Linked DNA regions of Solanum lycopersicum. The protein of the gene in region 2 interacts with the protein of the main gene of each other region in a pairwise test. Links are inferred from orthologs where the notes say so. Each region holds a gene or a part of one and is shown on either strand. Other genes may lie near its edges.

What was found.
Region 1: the proteins of homeobox protein ATH1 (region 2) and T6 interact in binary tests that used the Arabidopsis thaliana proteins (3 or more experiments, as listed by UniProt). The link is inferred for Solanum lycopersicum from reciprocal best matches to the Arabidopsis thaliana genes ATH1 and STM.

Annotation. Positions count from the first base shown.
Region 1 is NC_090801.1:61,370,729-61,375,044, forward strand, and holds the start of T6 (homeobox protein knotted-1-like LET6), read left to right. Parts: upstream 1-1,457; 5' UTR 1,458-1,756; coding exon 1,757-2,107; intron 2,108-2,349; coding exon 2,350-2,614; intron 2,615-4,316. UniProt on the Arabidopsis thaliana protein: Required for shoot apical meristem (SAM) formation during embryogenesis. Negatively regulates ASYMMETRIC LEAVES1 (AS1) and ASYMMETRIC LEAVES2 (AS2 or LBD6). Probably binds to the DNA sequence 5'-TGAC-3'. Binds to RNA.
Region 2 is NC_090807.1:54,833,820-54,838,179, forward strand, and holds the start of homeobox protein ATH1, read left to right. Parts: upstream 1-1,534; 5' UTR 1,535-2,181; exon of another isoform or gene 2,182-3,038; 5' UTR 3,039-3,174; coding exon 3,175-4,275; intron 4,276-4,360. UniProt on the Arabidopsis thaliana protein: Transcription factor which may be involved in the signal transduction pathway downstream of the COP1 gene. Controls floral competency as a specific activator of FLC expression. Is responsive of the nuclear import of SHOOT MERISTEMLESS (STM).

The DNA.
Region 1 (4,316 bases), on a different chromosome or scaffold from region 2:
CATTTATTCAAGAATTTTAACCTGAACTTTTTTTTTAAAAAAAAGAAAACTATTAAATTTTCCCTTAAAATAATTAAAATATCCTTAAAATTATTACTTAAAAAATTATAAATACTAAAAAACATATACACAAAAGATTACGACAGAAGATATATGGAATGGAAGAGATTTAGCATCACAATTTGGAAAGAGTATTTTGAAAATTAGAAAAAAAAAATTGGGATAAAAGTTTCTCGAAGATGCAAATAAAAAGTCAAGAAATTAATCTATTCCAAATTGATTAAAATATATTTTATCAAATTTAAAATATTTATAAATGAAAATTTATACATTAAACATGACCAACTTATGATTTTGTCTGATTTTAATGTTTTTTAGGTGATTAGCAATCTAAGTAATTTATTTTGAAAGTGCTTATAAAATTAAGATGGAAATTTGAAAATATCAGTTTTTGAAGTTTGAATGGTGTGTGAAATATTTTTGTAGGATTTAAAACAATACATAGGATAAGTGAAATGAAATTTCATCCAAATTTATGTAAATTGTCAAAAATTGATTAAAGTTTATGAACAAAAAACAATTTGTAATTTCTTTAAAAATTCTTCCTCCAAAATCTAGAGAAAATGTCATTGACGGTTTCTTAACTATTCGAGTAGGGTTTAAATAGTTTCTTAACTATTCATTTATAGGATTTAATCTTTCTAATTGCTCAAAATATTAATATATTTGATCTTTTAACTATTTACTTACCGATCGATTTTGGTCAGACCTACCATAGAGCTTAGTCTCTTAAAGATGTGAATCTCAAGATTTTCTACTGCTATATCCACTCACATCACAATTCACACCTTTGTTGTGCGTCTATTTTTTTCCCCTCTCCCTCTAAAAAAGATAAGTTTTCTTCACGTTTTATTCTTGAAAAGTAGTATTTTTGTTAATTTACTACTAGTATAATATAATGTGTACGCTAATCTAATTTTTAATATAAAATAATGATATAAAGTTTAATTTAGTGGTTGAAAGAAGAAGCAAAGCAAAAAGAATCATATTCAATTAAGGGACAAATAGGTCTCAAGTTATAATATTGGTAAGGAACTCTCACTCTTGTCTGTTTTCCAATAACCCAAAAACCAAGAAACACATAAAAACACAGAAGAAATTACACTGCACCTCGATTTGATCATTCTAATCTAAAAATAAAAATTAAACTGTATATCTCTCTCTCACTAGGAGAGGAGGGATATTGGCAGATAATGACAGTGTTTCAGTGGCAGTGAAGAAAAAAGGGGTATGAGTTTTCATTGGGAAGGTAAAAATTTTGCACCCAAATACAAGCTAACCCTTTAACATGTTCATGTTTTTCATAGTCTTTGCTTCTTGCTACAACACTATAGAGAGAAAAAAAAAAGAAAAGAAAAGTGAACAATACACTGTTTTTTACTAATTATTTTTTAGAAAAAGAAAAAAGGAATATTGTGTGTTTGCTTTTTTTTCTGACTAGTAGTATTGCTAACTATGTATTCCATTAAGGATTTGCTGTGAAAAAGCCTGATATCAGTAAGCATAAAACTCGGGAGATCACTTACACACACACACCCTCGTAAAAAAGAGAAGAGAGATTTACTGTTAAACAGAGGTTTTTTTCCATTTCTTTTTTTTTTCTCAGTGTGTGTGAGAGAGAGAGATGGTTTTCATAGGCAAAAACAAATAGAAAGGAACAAAATTTAGAGTGAAGAAGAAAGTGTGTGAGAGAATAATGGAGGGTGGTTCTAGTGGAAATACTAGTACATCTTGTTTAATGATGATGGGATATGGAGATCATGAGAACAACAACAACAACAATGGAAATGGTAATGGAAATGGAAATGGAAATGTAACAATTTGTGCTCCTCCAATGATGATGATGATGCCTCCTCCTCCTCCTTCTTTAACTAACAATAACAATGCAGAAACAAGCAGCAACAACATCCTTTTTCTTCCTTTCATGGACAACAACAACAATAATCCTCAAGAAGACAACAACTCTTCTTCTTCTTCCATCAAGTCAAAGATTATGGCTCATCCTCACTACCATCGTCTCTTGACTGCTTATCTCAATTGTCAAAAGGTGAAATTCACCCCCCCCCCAATTAACACCAACAAAAAAAAATTCATTTTTTTTTCAACAATTCAAAGATTATATTTTTTAACATGGGTTTTAGTATTTCTTGAAATTTTGATGATTTTTTCTACCTTGAAAGTGACTCTCTGCAACAATTCAATAAAAAACCCTGAAAACAAAATCATGTGTGTGAAAGGGACAGTAGCTGAAAAAACCTAGTTTTTTTTTCTTCTTTTTAACAACTGCAGATAGGAGCTCCGCCAGAAGTGGTGGCAAGGCTAGAGGAAATATGTGCCACGTCAGCAACAATGGGCCGTAGCAGTAGTAGTAGTGGTGGTGGAATCATTGGAGAAGATCCTGCACTAGATCAGTTCATGGAGGCTTATTGTGAGATGCTGACAAAATATGAACAAGAACTCTCAAAACCCTTCAAGGAAGCCATGGTTTTTCTTTCAAGAATTGAGTGTCAGTTCAAAGCTTTAACTCTTGCACCTAATTCTTCTCATGAATCTGGTGAGATATATATATATCAAATTTTTTTTCTTCATTTCTTAAAATGGTGACATTTATTCTTTTCAGATCCTAACTGTTTACTTGAGTTTATTCTTTTATAAATTAATGTCCTCTGCATGTGCATGTTTCCAATGATATCAGTCATTAATTAATTATTATGTACTAATAAAATAAGCTCAATTCCATATGCAGACCATTTATTTTCAATTTTTTATCAATTTACTCTACCTTCTTGTATTTCACAATGATTTTTTAAAATAGTTTTGTTTCTGTCTCAATATTCAATGAAATACATCTGCCAGGGATACTACCTGGAATTTATATTAAAGAAAAAGAATAATTATCTTATTTTGGTTCTTGTTCTACATGTTCATAATATTTGTGTGGTGCTAGTTGTAAGTGTAAACAGCAAGATATATTTGTCCCTTGTTAATCATTTCAAACTGGATGCTTGTGTATGCTGAATAAACTCAACTTGTCTTGTTCTTTATTTGGAATGACCCTGGGAAATATGTCTTTCTTGTTCCAGCTTTTTTCCCCTACTATTCATGTGCAGGTTTTGTTTGTTCTATCATGTGCCAATCACAGATTAATTGATGACTAGCTCAAGATATAATAATGTATTAACCCTAGTTTTCTGTATTGAAGCTGCATATATTATGATGGTGAATATGAATTTCAAAATTATATTACTTTGGTTTTACTTCTGACACTCTATGAAGTAAATTTTTTGATTCTCTTGTGTTGAGGGTCTTTTGTAAGTATACTGAGGTAGAAAGGGAGGGGGTGGCGGAGATAGCTATATACCAACCAGTCTTAGGTGATTTTGCACGTTGGATACACCAGTTTGTTGTTGTAAGGAGCAGATTATTACATTATCTTTCTTTTGATCAAGTCTTTTTCAACATAAGCTTTCATTTGAATTCAATTTATGTGTGGGTGTTATGTTTCTCAAAGTTAGTTGAGTTTATGTTTCATGCTTTGATTGTTTAAAATATAAGACTTTTGAGTTTTGGAAAAGGTTATTCATTCCATGTTTCTCTCGTTAATTGTGTTGATTGGTAACCCCACAAATTAACGTCAAGTAATCTTTATATTACTGGAATCACTCTCTATAACTATTATTGTTGCTAAGTAGTAGTGTTTTTGATGATTTTAAATCTATTAGGTATTTGGAAAGATGTGCTGAATTAGTTGGTTGTCTTGGAAATGGTTCATAACTACGAATGCTTAAATGTTACACCGTATAAGCTAAATAAACACTGAAAAAGGAACTTCCATCTAATGGCAATAGTTTGTATGTATTTGGATTTCAATCTGTATTTGTTTAACTTGGAAAGCTCCAATCCATCTTAGCAAGCACTTAAGTTTCATATATGGTCTGTGAAGAAGTCCTTGATCGGCTGAACGATTAGCTGTATCGCACAAATAGTTACAATCTTTCGACATAATTCCATGAGGTCCCTCTTTTAGACACTTTAAAAGAATAGAAAGATACAAGACAAAATTGAGAAATGCACCTTCCTTTTAGTGAGACCCATAAAATACTCTTGATTAGATTTGGAGCTTTTATTGGATTGTATCATATAACCTACTTGATGTGTTATACTTTTGTTTAAGTCATTGGATTATGTAGTTGGTGTTTTTTCATCAATACATCTTTTTTTTTTAATTACTCTTTTGAGTTTATTTCCTTTTTTTA
Region 2 (4,360 bases):
ATTTTATATCGATGAGAATAATAAATTTAAAAATATAATGATGTGATCATAAATTTTATTTACATGTAAAATAAATGGTTAGTAGTTATAAAGGTGGGGTTGTTTTAACAAAATATAAAGTCGTGGATCAATTTTGTATGGCCAAATACATAAACAAATTCCTAAACTTGTTGGATTTTTTTCCTCAGGTACCTCAACTACGTCATTTTTCAATTGAATCATTGAACCACCCATAATTTGTTTCTTTAAAACACTGTTGGTTGATTTTGATCAACTTTTCTATTGTAAATGTCTTCAATTGTATTCGAATTGTAACAATTTTGATTGAAAGAATAAAGACAAACTGTGTTAGTCTCATTTGTTTTCTAATGTGTTCAAATGACTTAAAGTAAAACACAATTATTTTCAAACATTTTCACTATCAATTGGACTAATGATTTGTGGAACAACATATGTATCCTCTATCAATACCCCTCACAAATCTGATTCCACATCAGACAACGGTATTTGTTTAGACGTAATAAATTATGGGGGTTCAATAATTCAATAGGAAAATGACGTAGTTGAGGTACATGAAGGAAAAAATCCAATAAGTTTAGGGATCTACTTATGTATTTGGCCATTTTGTATTATAACATCTCAAATCATGATATGGCATCACCATGTGATTCGATATCATGGTTTTTGGAGGATATGATATCACATCTCATGATAAGGAATCATATAATGAAATCAACATAAAATGACATGTCCAAATACTGATTACATTTCACGATACCATGTCGTTGATATGATATCGCATGGCCAAACGCATATTAAGTATAATCAATTTTTTTTATAATGTCAAAATACTTTGGATGTAATCAAATTTTTTTTACATAAAATCTTATTTTGTGTGGAATATAGCATCCGATATACTTCATCAATTAGATCACTTTTACCTTTTTCAAAATTAAGGTTTGATCACTTTTACCTTTTTCAAAATTAAGGTAAGTTAAAAGCATTACACACTAGGGTTGTAATTAGTATGGAGACGACTAAGAGGAAATTGGTAAGTAAAAGTGTTCCTATTGAGCCCTTTTCGTTTAAATTTACGATTGTCCGTTTTCTTATGTAATTAAGTTAATCAAATGAAATTGTTTCCTTTAGTTATATTCTACAATCTTAACTAATCTTTTTTTTTTTTTGGAGATTTTATATTGACACAAATGTGTAAATGGCAAAATTTTAATTTATTTACTTGATAAATATTTAAGAATATACATAACAAAAACATTTTATCGTGATTATATGCTCAGTTAAAATTGGACTAGTTCAAAAACATGACTGTCTCAATAAATTTATCTTTTTTGTAGTACGCATAAATTAAATAATAATAACATACTCAATATATTCGATCTTTATGAAGTAAAAATGTACATACTCAGTGTAACGTTATATTTGGGTTGAATCCAAACGAAATGGCCCCAAAATGAGGCACACTATAGTATGTTTTTTGCAAAATTGTATAGTATTGCATGAAATGTGAATGATTATTTTGCGTTTGTGTGGCTCTTCTCTTAGCTATCTTTTCATAATGGGTCCATAAATCCATGTAATTATTCATCTCTCAGCTGCTCTCTGCAAAACCAACAAGCACATTTTTTGGCTTTTAACACTTCTCTCACTCACACACACATTCTTTACCCCTTTTCTTTGTGATTTATTCATGCCCTTTGGATAATGACCCCCCAAAAAAACAAAAAAAAGAAACCCTCTTTTTAATAAAATAATGTATTTGTGAGGAAGATGGTGATTCTGAATTTTCTGAGTTTCTTGGGTGTTGGGTTCTGAATAAAAATCTTGCTTTTCTTCCTCATGCAAGCAAAACATCTTACTTTTTGCATTGCTTTTTTTTTTTTTTTTGTAGTTTTTTGGGGGTGGGTTTTGTGTTGTGGGGTTGATATATTGTACTAGTCCTACCATTATTCTTTTCTTTTTTTTACCCTTCTTATTTTTATTATTGTTAAAGGGGAGAAAAAGGGGTCTTTTGATTAAACATTGTTTGGGGTGAAAGGGAAAAAAACCCAATGATTTGTTTTAAATTTTTCTCTATATTTGGATTTGGCAACAACCTTGGAATTCTATTTTAAGAGGAATTTTGAAGAAGCTGCAGTTTGTGGAAGTTTGGCACCAAGCTTGGTTTCCTTCTTTCTTTCACTACTATTATTATTATTATTATTTTGGATGTGTTTTATAAGCTCAATTATGATTTGGTGAAACAATTTTATTTTTTTAACCCTTTCATGTTCTTTGCTTTACTATTATTAAGTACATATAAGCTAACTATCTAACTACTTGACATGTCCCATATTTATGACTAACACTTTCACTTCATTTGTGACTAAAGGAGAAGTAACCTTGATAATTGTTGTTTTGACATGATGTTTGTTTCATTTATCCTATTTTAACGTATATTGTTTAGACTCTTCAAAGATATCAAAAGACATGTGTTTGTAGTATATTTTTTTAGAGCGTGGCATGGAAAGTGAAGAGTCTATGCAATTTAGTTTGAATTTGGCAAATTAACCATCTCCATTATAAGGAGATTTATGGAAGTTAATGGATGTATGTTCTGAGTTAAGAGTTATGAAATATGTATGTTTGATTCTCTCTATATTTGTTTTTTGTACATCAAACAGCAGATTGCCTGTTTTCCATTTTTTTCTACTGTTATTCAAGATCAGGTTGTGGGACTGAAATAGTAATATTTAGGCACATGAACTTTTTGATATGATTCTGCCTAATAATTCTGTTAACATAGACAGATCAATGTAAAGAGACCAAAAAAAAAAAGTTGGATGGTAATGACTATACAACAAGAAAAAAGAGAAAATGTCTTGTCCCATCCTTAGTGTTTAAAGCAATTTTTTGAGTCAACTAGTTGGATGTAAATGATCAAATTTAGTAGAGGTGTTTTCCTCTACCATCCATCTGTTCTAGAAAATCCTTCGAGATGTTATCTAAGTTGTATTAATAGAACATTTTTCTTGTTATAGGCAATTCTTTTCAGCCAAAAGTATACAAGTGTGAACTATCAAGGTTTCATTGAGCTGCTGTTGTTAGCTTGATCACTTGTCTTTGTTGTTTCATAGAAAATCCTCAAGTGATGTGGAACTCAAATTTCAACTAGAAATGGCAGAGCCTCTTCGGATTATAGATGAAAATTTTCTTCATACGACTATTGTTCCCATTAGTTTTCCCGAAACAGTTTGTATGAACAATCAAAACCAGATCATGGATGGACATGGAATTCCTTATCCTTTTATGCTGCAAGGTGAAGCCGTAAACACCTCTCATGGTTTTCTAAATGTACCTAATTTTCCTCGACCTGTTGACACTGAAGCAATTCATAATGTGTTGCCGGTTGGGAGAAACAGAATAAAAGAGTATTCAGTGAGTACTTCTTATCCAATCAGTAATGCTTACGCAGATGATCAATATATGGAAGGTATACCAATTTCTGCTGTGTCTCTTGCTAATCTTTTGGCTGCAAGGAACGCTATGCACGAGAATCCTGAAAATTTAGCGGTACTAGCTCCGTTATCACATCCTACAGAAGGCCAGAAAATGGATGGTCTAGACTATCCTAATGTGTTGAATCATTCATTTGGATCCTACAGAAACTATGAGTTTGATGGTGTTTCGGAAATTGGTGGGATGGTTGTAGGACGAGCAGGATCTCAGCCTTTCCAATTAACTGAAAATGTGAATTCAAACACATGGTTCTCATCAGAAACAGCTAGTTTGAGTTCTGATAGTCCCTCTGGATCCTCCCGATTTAGCAACGACCTCTGTCTAAGTCTCACAACATCACAATCTGCTGTTGCATGTGGGACTACTATCCGGGACCAATGCTCGGATATAAGTTGCTCCGGTGTAACCAACCATGCTTTCCCTCAAAGACGCTTTGATTCAGAGTTAACTTCTTGCAACAGCAGAAATCTGTCTTTAAGCTTTGGTTCATACAAACCTGTCTACCTTTCACAATTCTTAACTGGATCAAGATATCTCCGTGTAATGCAAGAAATACTCTCTGAAATTGCTCAGTTATCACTTCAAAATCATAACTTGGTAGGCTATCGAGGAAATGGGACGGAGAATGGTGCAAACACTTCATTTGCTTTGAATTCAGATGCTGGAAGGGGCTATGCAGCCATGAGTTCTGATGATTCACCTGATGGTCTGATGGGTTGTGAAGCTAAGAAAAAGAATCTGGTAGCTTTGTTGCAAGTGGTGAGTTGACAAGCATTTGATGATTAGTTTTCGGTTTTATGACAATCTGTTTTGAAAATTCTTGGCTTGCTCTTGTCTCTATGCC